Tribolium castaneum: one gene and its partners. The protein of the gene in region 1 interacts with the protein of each later gene in a biochemical or structural test. Links are inferred from orthologs where the notes say so. Each region holds a gene or a part of one and is shown on either strand. Other genes may lie near its edges.

Region 1 (2,915 bases):
AATCGAAGTACATGACGTAATAGTGCTTCAAAAGTTATGTAAGCATGCAAAATTTGAAGTTGCTACGATAACAGGAAGTGTCTCAAACTTATGTTCAAAATATTTATAATTTCGAAAGCCAATAAACAAAACAGGTTGAAAAAAAACTCTAATAAAAAATTTAGGCTTTTTTGTTGAAAGTCTTTATTTAATGCGATTTGTTTGGAACATATTTTACGAGTTAATTTTGGGGCACTTCCTGTTGTCGTAGCAACTTGAGATTTTACATGCACACGTAACTTTTGGAGCACAATTACGTCATGTACTTCGATTCCTGATTTAAAAATGTGCAGTGCTATCTCGGTTCCTGAGGGAGATACGGGAACGGGACCTATTCCATTCGATAGCCCAGGAAAAATACTACGGGGCGGTAGGGTTTTCAAAAGGACAGAACCACCCCTCTATCTCCAACAGAAACGAAGATATTTCGCATTTTGTAAATTGCAGATTTTCTTCAATTTTTATAAAAATTTTGATAATGAAATAAAATTTTAGTAAAATTCAGCAAAATTTTAAAAATGGATTTCGTATCAGGATCACAGGAACGCAAAAGGGTAATGAGAAATTATAAATAACTTAAAATACACGCAGATGTATAACTGGTTGCATGTAAACGCCGCTAAAAATTTCGTGGCCTCTTTGCGTTCCTATGATCCTGATACGAAATCCATTTTTAAAATTTTGCAGAATTTCACATAAATTTTCTAGCACTCACAAATTTTTTTATAAAAACTGAAGAAAATCTGAAATTCACAAAATGCGAAATATCTTCGTTCCTGTTAGAGATAGAGGGGCGGTGAAAACCCTACTGAGCCGTAGTATTTTTCCTGGGCTATCGAATGGGATAGGTCCCGTTCCCGTATCTCAATCAGGAACCGAGGTAGCACTGCACATTTTTTAATCGGGAATCGAAGTACATGACGTAATAGTGCTCCAAAAGTTATGTAAACATGTAAAATCTCAAGTTGCTAACATAACAGAAAGTGCCTCAAACTTAAACTTTAAAACGTCTTAAACTATTTTTTTTTAAATTGTAGGTAGTGACATTTGGGTGTCAAATCTTAAAGTACCTTTTATAGAGATCTATAAAACATTTAAAAATAATAAAATCTAAGGTAGTGACATCTAAGCAATGACTGCAAAACTACGCTCTTATAGTAACCTGTAAATTGTCAAAGTACCATCTACTGAGTCTGATCTATAGCTGTTCGATGGAGTTGGTGATTGCAGTGCACTTTTTTTTAAGAATTGACAAACGCTCACGTAAAATATTATAAAGAATAATTAAATTCATTCAATGCACATTTTTGGGTGCTCATATTGTTCAAATATTGATAAAAAATGGCAGGCTCAGCTCTAAGACGCCTTATGGCCGAGTACAAGCGTAAGATGCAAGCCTAACCTCAAACTATTTGCATTCGTTTTATGTTTCTAGAACTGACTCTGAACCCCCCAGAAGGTATCATTGCTGGTCCAATAAACGAAGAAAATTTCTTCGAGTGGGAAGCGTTGATAACGTAAGTTGTCTTTGTAGGGAAACTTTCATATGACGGGTTTTTAGTGGCCCTGAGGGGACATGTTTTGAGGGCGGTGTTTTCCCAGCTAAACTCATTTTCCCCCCGGACTATCCCTTAAGCCCTCCTAAAATGCAGTTCACCTGCGAAATGTTTCACCCTAATAGTAAGTATATTAGGGTTTTTGTAACAGGAGATGAATCAGCAGATTTTAGTTTATGCTGATGGGCGAGTATGTATTTCCATTTTGCACGCCCCTGGAGATGACCCTATGGGCTATGAGTCAAGTGCTGAGAGATGGTCTCCTGTACAGAGTGTTGAAAAAATTCTTCTCTCAGTTGTCAGCATGCTTGCAGGTACGTTTCTTCACAAAACAGTAACAAAATTCAACATGATTTTTAGAACCTAATGATGAGAGTGGAGCAAATGTTGATGCTGCGAAAATGTGGCGGGAAAATAGGGAGGAATTTAACAGAATAGCGGAGCGGATTGTAAGGCGAACGCTTGGGATTCCTACGTGAATTTTTACAAATTTTAACTGAGAGTTACGTCTGTTTGTTACAATTTTAATAATTTATGGGGATTAAAGTTTAGTTTTAAAGTTCAAGACTAAGGGCCTGGCTTGTTACCGCGCTAAAGTGAGAAAAAAATTTATTTCAATATATTATTTCTGAACAACAGTTAAACCATAAACTTAGTCTGTTAGGAACCTAAGCTATTGAAATAAATACAGCAGCATCCATTCACATCAGGAGTCTTAGTCTTGTCTAGCGCAAAACCCCGTTTTGTGACTAACATATTCACAACCTAATAAGAAATACGTTATTTTCTGGCTTAACTACTATCATGTGCGTTTGCTTCCTTATAAATAAGTTATTGGCTTAAAAACTACAGCTGACTTTCCAAGCATAACAATACTAAAATCACATTAAAACTTTGGTCTGAAAGTTAATTGCACAAATTTAACAAAACAACAAAATAAATAACTATAAATATGAAAAAGAAAGTGAAAACCTCAGGACTGCCGAGGATTTGTGTTATTCAAAACAATGTAATTGTTCAGAGGTATGTTGGAAACGATAGGTGCTTGGACTTCTTCTTCCTGATAATCGCGTCGTATCGCTGGAGTAGGGATTCTAGGAGGGACTTGTTCATTACTTGTATCTTCTACATCTATCAGATGCTCTGAATAATAATGCGGAGTGTTCAAGTAGTCGATCATTCTCCTCGGCAATGGAAGACTGGGGATCAGATCCCTGCGAACCACTTTGTGGATTGCAAATCTGCAAAAAATTCATGAGTAGAAAACATCCATGTATGTTTTAGTTTATTGACACAATGTTAAAGAATTAACATTTTTCA
Region 2 (4,451 bases), about 2.0 Mb from region 1:
AAAATTAATAGAGTAGTGAAGCAGCTTACTCGTAATACAGTTTTTATTTGATTATATTGGTTTCTGTTTTATTTCATTGCAAAAGCAGCTATTTAATGATCATTGTTGTAACGTCTATAAACAATGGGTTAATGAATTCGTACTATTTTTAGCTTTTCTACAATTGAAAAAAGATGAAATTTGCTCAAAGACCTCTAAAATTAAATTCTTTCAAATCACTAATTTTCTGTTTTTATTACATGTCATCAAAATACGTATAACAAAAAATGCAAATCAATGTTTTGTATAAAGAGTAGGTATTTGTCTACGCAATTCAAAATAACCATAATTGTGTAAATAAAGTGGTCTGCGTTATAAACATTTATTTTCGTCCTAAGCTAAAAACAAATCGGACATTGAGACAGATACCTTAAAAAAATAAAAGATTAGAAAAATGTTGCATCATTTTTTTAGCGCAATTCTGTCGTGAATCTCACTATCGAGAATTTCAATTGATTTTAGATACGTGTAAGGTAAAGGTCATGCGAAACAACGATGCCGTGTAACAAAACTTCTGTCCTTAATAAACATCGATTTAATGTAATGGATATTGTGGTTATAATTTCAATGCCTAAGTCAATACCACATCACATAAGTTTATTGTCGCCAAGTTGAAGATGTAAAATAAATTTAGTTTCCACTGCCATTAAATGTCATACTTTTATAATTTAATGGTCGAAATATGTTTGAAAATGGTGTTTTTTTCAATGATGTTTTTTTTTCTCAAAGGCATTGTGACCTGCATTGACGACACCCGCCATGGCATGGAAGACGGCGACCACGTCACATTTTCCGAAGTCCAAGGAATGACCGAACTGAACAATTGCAAGCCGATTAAAATCAAAGTGTTAGGCCCTTACACGTTCAGCATCGGCGATACGACCAACTTTTCGAAATACGAGCGTGGCGGTATTGCCACTCAAGTGAAAATGCCCAAAACCTTGTCGTTTAAATCACTCAAAGACTCGCTAAAATCGCCCGAATTTTTGATGACCGATTTCGCGAAATTCGATCATCCACAGCAGCTCCACGTGGCTTTTCAAGCGTTGCACAAATACGTCGAAAAGCACGGCCGTGTACCAAAACCGTGGAACAACGAAGACGCATCCGAATTTCTGTCCATTGCTAAATCTTTGGCCGTGGACGGCGGAAACGATACCGAAGTGAACACTAACTTGTTAGAAACGTTTGCGAAAGTGTGCGCGGGTGATTTGAATCCGATTAATGCGACTATCGGTGGTATCGTGGCGCAGGAAGTTATGAAAGCTTGTTCGGGGAAATTTCACCCGATTTATCAGTGGTTGTATTTCGATGCGATTGAATGTTTGCCCACGGAAGCTGGGGAAATTACCGAAGAGTCGGCGGCACCGAAAGGCACACGCTATGATGGACAAATTGCGGTCTTCGGAAGCGAATTCCAGAAGAAATTAGGTGCGTTTTTGTAATTTCTTGGCGAAAAGTTGCTAATTTATTTTTTGCAGGCGGTTTGAAATATTTCGTAGTAGGTGCTGGAGCGATCGGTTGCGAATTACTTAAAAATTTCGCTATGATGGGAATTGGTGGTGAAGGTGGACAAATCACCGTCACTGATATGGATCTTATTGAAAAATCTAATCTCAATCGACAGTTTTTGTTCAGACCACATGATGTTCAGCGTCCCAAATCTGGAACGGCAGCAAAGGTAAAATCATCTTATTGAAACAATTCCGAATTTAATGGTAAAAAACGATAAAAATGGACCGCACAGATGCGTAAACATTCAATTTCAAAGATTTTAAATAACGCGGTCAATTATCTTCGCTAGAGGTTTGTACTAGGTGAGACCATAACAGGCCAACTAAAATTCTCGGCAGTTTTAAATACTGTGATAAGCTGGTTTAATACGTAAAATTATCCGCAGAATTCACTGGAACAAACTGTTTGTCTCTACCACTTTTAGTTTTTAAGTTATTAAATTTTTAATGAGTAACCCGGCGCATCCACCATTTTTGAAGATGAAATTTAAAAATGTCTTTAAATAAAAAAAATCTTTATTTTTGCTACAGGTGATCAAGAAAATGAACCCGAGCATAAACATAGTCGCCCATGAAAATCGCGTGGGCCCCGAGTCTGAAAACATGTACGATGACACTTTCTTCGAGTCGTTAGACGGCGTAGCTAACGCTTTAGATAACGTTGACGCTCGTATCTACATGGACCGTCGATGTGTCTATTACCGAAAACCTCTACTAGAATCCGGAACCTTGGGTACAAAAGGCAACACCCAGGTCGTAGTGCCTTTCCTCACCGAATCCTACAGTTCGTCACAGGACCCTCCCGAGAAGAGCATCCCGATTTGTACCCTTAAAAATTTCCCCAACGCCATCGAACACACTCTCCAATGGGCTCGTGATAATTTCGAAGGCCTTTTCAGACAGAGTGCTGAAAACGCATCGCAATATCTCACCGATCCTGAATTTTTGGAACGTACTATTAAATTACCAGGAGTTCAACCGATTGAAGTGCTGGAATCGGTCAAGGCAGCTTTAGTTGATGATAGGCCAAAGAGTTTTGAAGACTGTGTAGTGTGGGCCCGCCATCATTGGGAGGAACAATATTCAAATCAGATCAAACAACTGCTTTTTAATTTCCCGCCGGATCAAAAAACCAGCACTGGACAGTTGTTCTGGTCGGGACCGAAGAGGTGTCCCGAACCACTCACATTCGATGTGAACAATACCTTGCATTTGGATTATGTTTTTGCAGCGGCTAATTTGAAAGCCGAGGTTTATGGAATACCGCAGAATAGGGATCGGGCTTACATCGCCGAAGTGGTGCAAAAAATTCACGTAAGCCAGCCACTTTAAGCTTTAAAGAAATAAATATGATTTTTTTTTATTAATATCCAATTAGACAATGTTTTATAATATTCTTATGATAATTAATTGCAGGTACCAGAGTTCGTCCCGAAATCTGGCGTCAAGATCGCCGTCACCGATTCGCAGATGGCAATGACGAACGGTTCAAGCGTCGACTTGGACCGCGTTGGCCAAATCAGAGAGGAATTACCTTCGGTCGCCGAACTGGGCAATCTTTGCCTCACTCCACTTGATTTCGAAAAGGACGACGACACAAACCTCCACATGGATTTCATAGTAGCGGCTTCGAATCTCCGAGCCGCCAACTACAAAATCCCTCCAGCCGATCGTCACAAATCCAAGCTGATCGCCGGCAAAATCATCCCAGCTATAGCGACAACAACCTCAGTCGTCGCCGGCCTCGTCTGTCTCGAGCTTTACAAATTAACGAGAAGTTTGAAATCGTTGACGCCGTTCAAGAACGGTTTCGTCAACTTGGCTCTGCCGTTCTTCGGGTTTTCGGAGCCCATTGCCGCCCCCAAGAACGAGTATTGCGGGAAGGAGTGGACGTTGTGGGACCGGTTTGAGGTGGATGGGGAGATGACTCTGAGCGAGTTTTTGGAGTACTTTAAAGAGAAGCACGGCTTGGAGATCACGATGTTGTCGCAGGGCGTGTGCATGCTGTACTCGTTCTTTATGGCCAAAGCGAAGGCGCAGGAACGCCTGGGGTTGCCCATGTCCGAGATTGTGAAGCGAGTGTCGAAGAAGAAGCTCGAACCGCACGTCAAGGCGCTAGTGTTTGAACTGTGTTGTAACGACGCTGACGGAAACGATGTCGAAGTTCCGTATGTTAAGTATAATCTACCTTGAATGGTTGCGTGTTGGCTGCATTCGTATTAGGGCATTTAATGACAGTTATTAGGTGTGCACTAAATTGAACTATTCTGGGTATTTGTCAAATTGTGATCTTGTAAATTATTTATATTTTTTGCAAGCATAACTAGAACACGTGTTCGGTAGGAATTTGTTATTACTTGCCCAGTGATTCTCACTTGATTTTCTATTATTTGTGTTATGGCGAGTGAATTCAATGAGCTAATGCAATATAATCGTACGTATGCTGATACTGGATACATTGTAGGTTCAGGATAGTGTTTATTTTCTTAAATATTTTGATGTGTGAAATTTAATAAATATGTTTTGAACATTACGAGCTCTCCTTATTTCTCCTTTTTTGTACAAAATTATAAATTAAAACTTACTGCAACTGCGTTGGAGTTGGTCATCCTGTATTTTAATTAAATTTCCTGCCATATGGCAGAAGGACGCTGCAAAATTGACCACCAGAAAGCGCAAAAGCCTCAACCTTAATCGTATGTGCAAATTATGCCAGGAAATACGAAATAAATCTTAAAAATCAGGATTTTTTAAACGCTCAAGGTCATTAAAGAGGCAGTGCACTCCGCACAGTTGGTATCCCTACACGCACTTGACGAAATGGTGGTGTATTTATTTTTGTTTTGTGAAATTAAACAATATAATATTTCGTGAAATTGAACTCATTCAAGTGATTTG
Region 3 (4,382 bases), on another chromosome or scaffold:
TTCTAGTTATTAAATTTTCGACAAGTGGAGAAATAAATTGCATTTTTTCCTCCACGTTTGCCAGCTTTAAATCAACTTTGGGTAAATCCCAGAAAATATTGTCGGATTTTTGCTGGACGTGACTTAACGACGGGAAAATATCAAAATCCGATTCTTCAGTACTAAAAATTCGCACCTTTTCCATCTCTTTTTTCAAAGAAGACGGAACACCACTCATCAAAAACTGTCTTCTTGCTTCCATTGCTTCCGGATCTAATTTTGGTTTTGGAACAGCTTTTAAGAAAACTGGTGCCACTTTTGTCTTCTTCTTCTTCTCATCGTCCGAATCAGAAAGTTGAAGAAAATCATCGTATTTTTTCGGTTTTCGGGATCGTAAAACTCTGCGTGAGGCATTTTCGTCGGAAACAGAGTTGGCTGGGTCCACGTCGAGTTCGATGACGTCAATGCCACTGTCACTAGACTGCGTATTGACAGGGGCATTTTCAACTATCACCACGTCTGCAACACTTCCTTGGGCATTTTCAACACTCTTTTGAGCATTTTCAACACTTCCTTGGGCATTTTCAACACTTCCTTGAGCATTTTCAACACTTCCTTGGGCATTTTCAACACTTTTTGGGGCATTGTCAACACTTTTTGGGGCATTGTCAACACTTTTTTGGGCATTTTCAACACTTCCTTGGGCATTTTCAACATTTCGTTGACTGTTGACAGACGAATTTTCAACATCACTCCTGTCATCCACGGCCAACTTGATCTTAAATTTCCACTTTTTGTTGGCAGTTGGTGTTTTTGGTGCCTCGTTCTCACTGTCACTTTCAATTACAACAGTTTTCCGCTTCTTCCTTTTAGTGACCACCTCATCGTCACTTTGACAATCAATATTTAGCAACTTTTTCAATCGTTTTCCCCGTTTCTCCAGCTTGTAACTGATGCAATTGCCGACTTCCTCGTACTCTCGTTTACGTTTGGCAGCCCCCTTGGCCTCCGCCCAGCTCTCAAACCGACTTTTCCTCTCCTTTAAGACACTTTTATCCGAGGCTGTTTCCGAGTCGTTTGCGTCAGGTTCACGCCCAGGGGAATTCCCCCCAATGCTCCGATGTCTTCGATTCATCATAAATTGAAACGCGTTGATTTTAGCCCCATTTGGGGAAGTTTCGGGGGTTTCTTCATTGGTGTGCTTGTTTTTCTTTGATTTTTTACCGGTCTTTATTGGAGTTGAATCTTTCATTGTTCCTAAATCATGTTTTGCTTCGATAACACACTAAAAACTGCACTAAAACACAATACAAAAAACTTGGCGCCAAATCAGCGCTTTGTTGACATTTTTTGTAGACTTTAAGGTTAGGTTTCTTGTGGCTAAGGTTACGTAACACGAAATTAAGTGTAATTCACAAACCAAGCCCCACAATTGATATTACGCGATTTGTGATCTTTACTGATACGAAACTGGGTTGTTTTAAGTCAAAATATCAGGGTAAAACCCCGCACAACTCATTATTTGTGTTAGTGACTGGTGGTTTTGTCAGGTTGGTCTTTTCCCGAACTAGCCAACAGTTGGCTTCCTGAGTGAAAGTAAACGTCAGTCTTGTGGTATTACGTCAAAAAATAAATTTTTTCGTCCTGAAAAGCCTCAAAACGCCTAAAAAATTGCAGTTTTTGTCGAATTTCGAGCATTTGTGATCACGCAACTATGGATCTTTGAGTCGGATCCGTAAATTACATAATGTTCTTCACATTCAAGTAGTTTCCTGTGCCAAAAAACATCAGGTAATTTTTTGTCCCAGCTTGTTTATTGTGTTGATTCTTATTAACTAATCAAAAAAAAATCAATTAGTGTGAGTTGTAATCCCTTGATAATAATTTCGTTTATCGGTGGATTGAAAATGTGGGCCATTCGAGGTCTCTGCCCCCAACACATGGCCTGCTAATTGCTAATTTACATAACTGCATCAATGGGGGCTCAATATACTTGAAAAATCCGTGTTTACGATTGGGGGAACTTTGATACGGCCAAGTGAATCATTGGAACAATTCCCAGATTTTTATGTTAAAAATAAATCCCTTGTGTCTGTCACACTACAGATAATGCGTTTTTTATCAGTTTTTGGGCATAATTAACTAACAACAAACGTTTTTTATTATTCTAATTGCAAAAGTAACCTTGAGATAAAATCAGTTGATTTGTGAACGCAAAAAATCGATTTGTTTTGCCGAAAAACAAATGAATAACGACAAAGTACAAAGTGGGAGGTTTGTTTTGTTTTCAATTCAATTGTTCTCATGGGTGTCGTCGCGTTTCGAACGTAGATAATGCAAATATTCAGTTTATTCCGGAATTGGACGATAAAGAAATCGACCAAGGACAGGGTCGGACTAATTAAAAATTGATTCAGTTCGATTGCATCACAATCATGGGAATGAGAAAATCGCAAGGAACGGTCAAGGTTAAGAGATACACAACTCAGTTTTTTCGAGAAATTCAATAATTTAAGTCTGTAAAAACATTCTGTCTCATTTGAGGGGTCTAGTTTCAGCTTTATGCTTTATTAAATTGTTATTAACTTTTCAGGAACGGAAAAAAACTTCATCTTTTGTAATTTATGCTTCTGTTTTGTTTGTTCTTTTTTTTCATATTATGGGGTGGCTCGTGCCTGATAGCAGGTCAAAAAAAAGAGTTGCCAGATTTAAACTTATTTACATCAGAAATGCTCCCAAAAAAAGAAGGGAAAAATAATGGACTTGCATAGAGGGAGAATCTAGTGGAGAGAGCATTAGCGGGAAACTCTGGTTTTTGCACAAACTTTTTCATGGCCACTTCCAAAACTTTCTGTTTAGTACAAATTTTGATCTAGTATAGTTAAAATATTAACCAAATATATTTGGAGAAAATACAGCTCCCCTCTGATTTTTTAGGAATGTTTTTTGATATTTGAGTTACTGTCTTTTTTTTTTTACTGTGTCTTTTCAGCGTAATGATGGACTCGGAACTGTCCAACACCGACATCTGCCGGGTGTGCCGTTCGGAAGGCTTGCCCGACCGCCCCCTGTTCCACCCCTGCATCTGCACGGGCAGCATAAAGTGGATCCATCAGGAATGCCTCATGCAATGGATGCGTTACTCGCGCAAAGAATACTGCGAATTGTGCAGTTATCGTTTCTCCTTCACTCCCATCTACTCCCCCGACATGCCACGCCGCCTCCCTGTGCGAGACCTCGCCGCCGGTCTCCTCTCCTCCATCGGAACCGCCATCAAATACTGGCTCCACTACACTCTAGTCGCCATCGCTTGGCTCGGAATCGTCCCTTTGACAGCCTGTCGGATCTACCGCGCCCTTTTCGCCGGCACTGTCGACGCCATCTTGACCCTTCCGTTTGAACTCCTCTCAATGGAAAACCTGGCATCGGACATTTTCCAAGGTTGCTTCGTCGTCACGTGCACGCTATTCGCATTCGCTGGGTTGGTGTGGCTGCGCGAGCAGATCTTACACGGGGGAGGACCCGATTGGTTACAGAGAGATAACGTGGGCGTGGCCGAAGATGCCCCACCTCCCGTCTTGAATAACAACATACCGGAAGACGTGGAGGAGAACAACGGACAGGAGCCAGAAGTAGCACCTCAAGGGGAGAATCAGGGGGAACAACAGGAGGAGAATGAAGTGAATGGAGGCGAAGACAACAATTGGATACCCATGGAGTGGGATAGAGCGGCCGAGGAGATAACATGGGAGCGTTTGTTGGGTCTTGATGGTTCTTTAATGTTCCTGGAACACGTTTTCTGGGTCATTTCGTTGAACACTTTGTTTATACTCATTTTTGCCTACTCCCCGTACCATATGGGTCTAATGACTCTTTCCCTTGTTAATATGAGGGAGGCGGCTTCGGCCAGTCATTTCGAAGGTTTATTGACCACTTTGGTCGGTTATTGCACTGTTGGTCTTTTCTTTGTGTTCTTCCATCGAGTCGCCGGTGTTTTGGGTTTTTACAAAGCTAAGCGCGTCCTAGGTTTGTGTTACGTGGTGGTTAAAGTATCGATGCTTTCGGTGGTTGAAATCGGAATTCTACCATTGGTTTGTGGCTGGTGGTTGGATATTTGCTCTTTGGCAATGTTTGACGCTTCGCTCAAAGACAGGGAGAGTAGTTTTAGTGCCGCTCCTGGTACTTCAATCTTCATCCATTGGTTGATCGGAATGGTCTATGTCTATTATTTCGCTTCGTTTGTTCTCCTCTTGCGTGAAATTCTAAGACCAGGAGTGTTGTGGTTCTTGCGCAACTTCAACGACCCTGATTTCAGTCCAATTCAAGAAATGATCCATTTACCTATCTTGGAACATATACGGAAATTGTTGATCTCGGCGGTTATCTTCGGTAGTGTTGTTCTT

Evidence for each region.
Region 2: of the proteins of Ubc7 (region 1) and Uba1, one has a biochemical effect on the other in vitro, tested with the Homo sapiens proteins (5 studies listed by BioGRID, with this or other methods). The link is inferred for Tribolium castaneum from reciprocal best matches to the Homo sapiens genes UBE2G2 and UBA1.
Region 3: the proteins of Ubc7 (region 1) and E3 ubiquitin-protein ligase MARCHF6 form a complex in vitro, tested with the Homo sapiens proteins (2 studies listed by BioGRID). The link is inferred for Tribolium castaneum from reciprocal best matches to the Homo sapiens genes UBE2G2 and MARCHF6.

What each region holds. Positions count from the first base shown.
Region 1 is NC_087394.1:30,806,785-30,809,699, reverse strand, and holds Ubc7 (ubiquitin-conjugating enzyme E2 G2), read left to right. Parts: upstream 1-1,260; 5' UTR 1,261-1,380; coding exon 1,381-1,423; intron 1,424-1,474; coding exon 1,475-1,556; intron 1,557-1,600; coding exon 1,601-1,719; intron 1,720-1,768; coding exon 1,769-1,909; intron 1,910-1,955; coding exon 1,956-2,074; 3' UTR 2,075-2,301; downstream 2,302-2,915. Other genes in the region: uncharacterized protein LOC662537, read right to left, coding at 2,569-2,836. UniProt on the Homo sapiens protein: Accepts ubiquitin from the E1 complex and catalyzes its covalent attachment to other proteins. In vitro catalyzes 'Lys-48'-linked polyubiquitination. Involved in endoplasmic reticulum-associated degradation (ERAD).
Region 2 is NC_087394.1:32,761,191-32,765,641, forward strand, and holds the end of Uba1 (ubiquitin-like modifier-activating enzyme 1), read left to right. Parts: intron 1-768; coding exon 769-1,470; intron 1,471-1,520; coding exon 1,521-1,720; intron 1,721-2,084; coding exon 2,085-2,867; intron 2,868-2,969; coding exon 2,970-3,746; 3' UTR 3,747-4,086; downstream 4,087-4,451. UniProt on the Homo sapiens protein: Catalyzes the first step in ubiquitin conjugation to mark cellular proteins for degradation through the ubiquitin-proteasome system.
Region 3 is NC_087399.1:3,030,122-3,034,503, reverse strand, and holds the start of E3 ubiquitin-protein ligase MARCHF6, read left to right. Parts: upstream 1-1,568; 5' UTR 1,569-1,770; intron 1,771-2,971; 5' UTR 2,972-2,975; coding exon 2,976-4,382. Other genes in the region: elg1 (ATPase family AAA domain-containing protein 5), read right to left, coding at 1-1,231. UniProt on the Homo sapiens protein: Endoplasmic reticulum membrane-associated E3 ubiquitin ligase that plays a critical role in mitigating endoplasmic reticulum stress, the regulation of cholesterol and lipid homeostasis, and ferroptosis.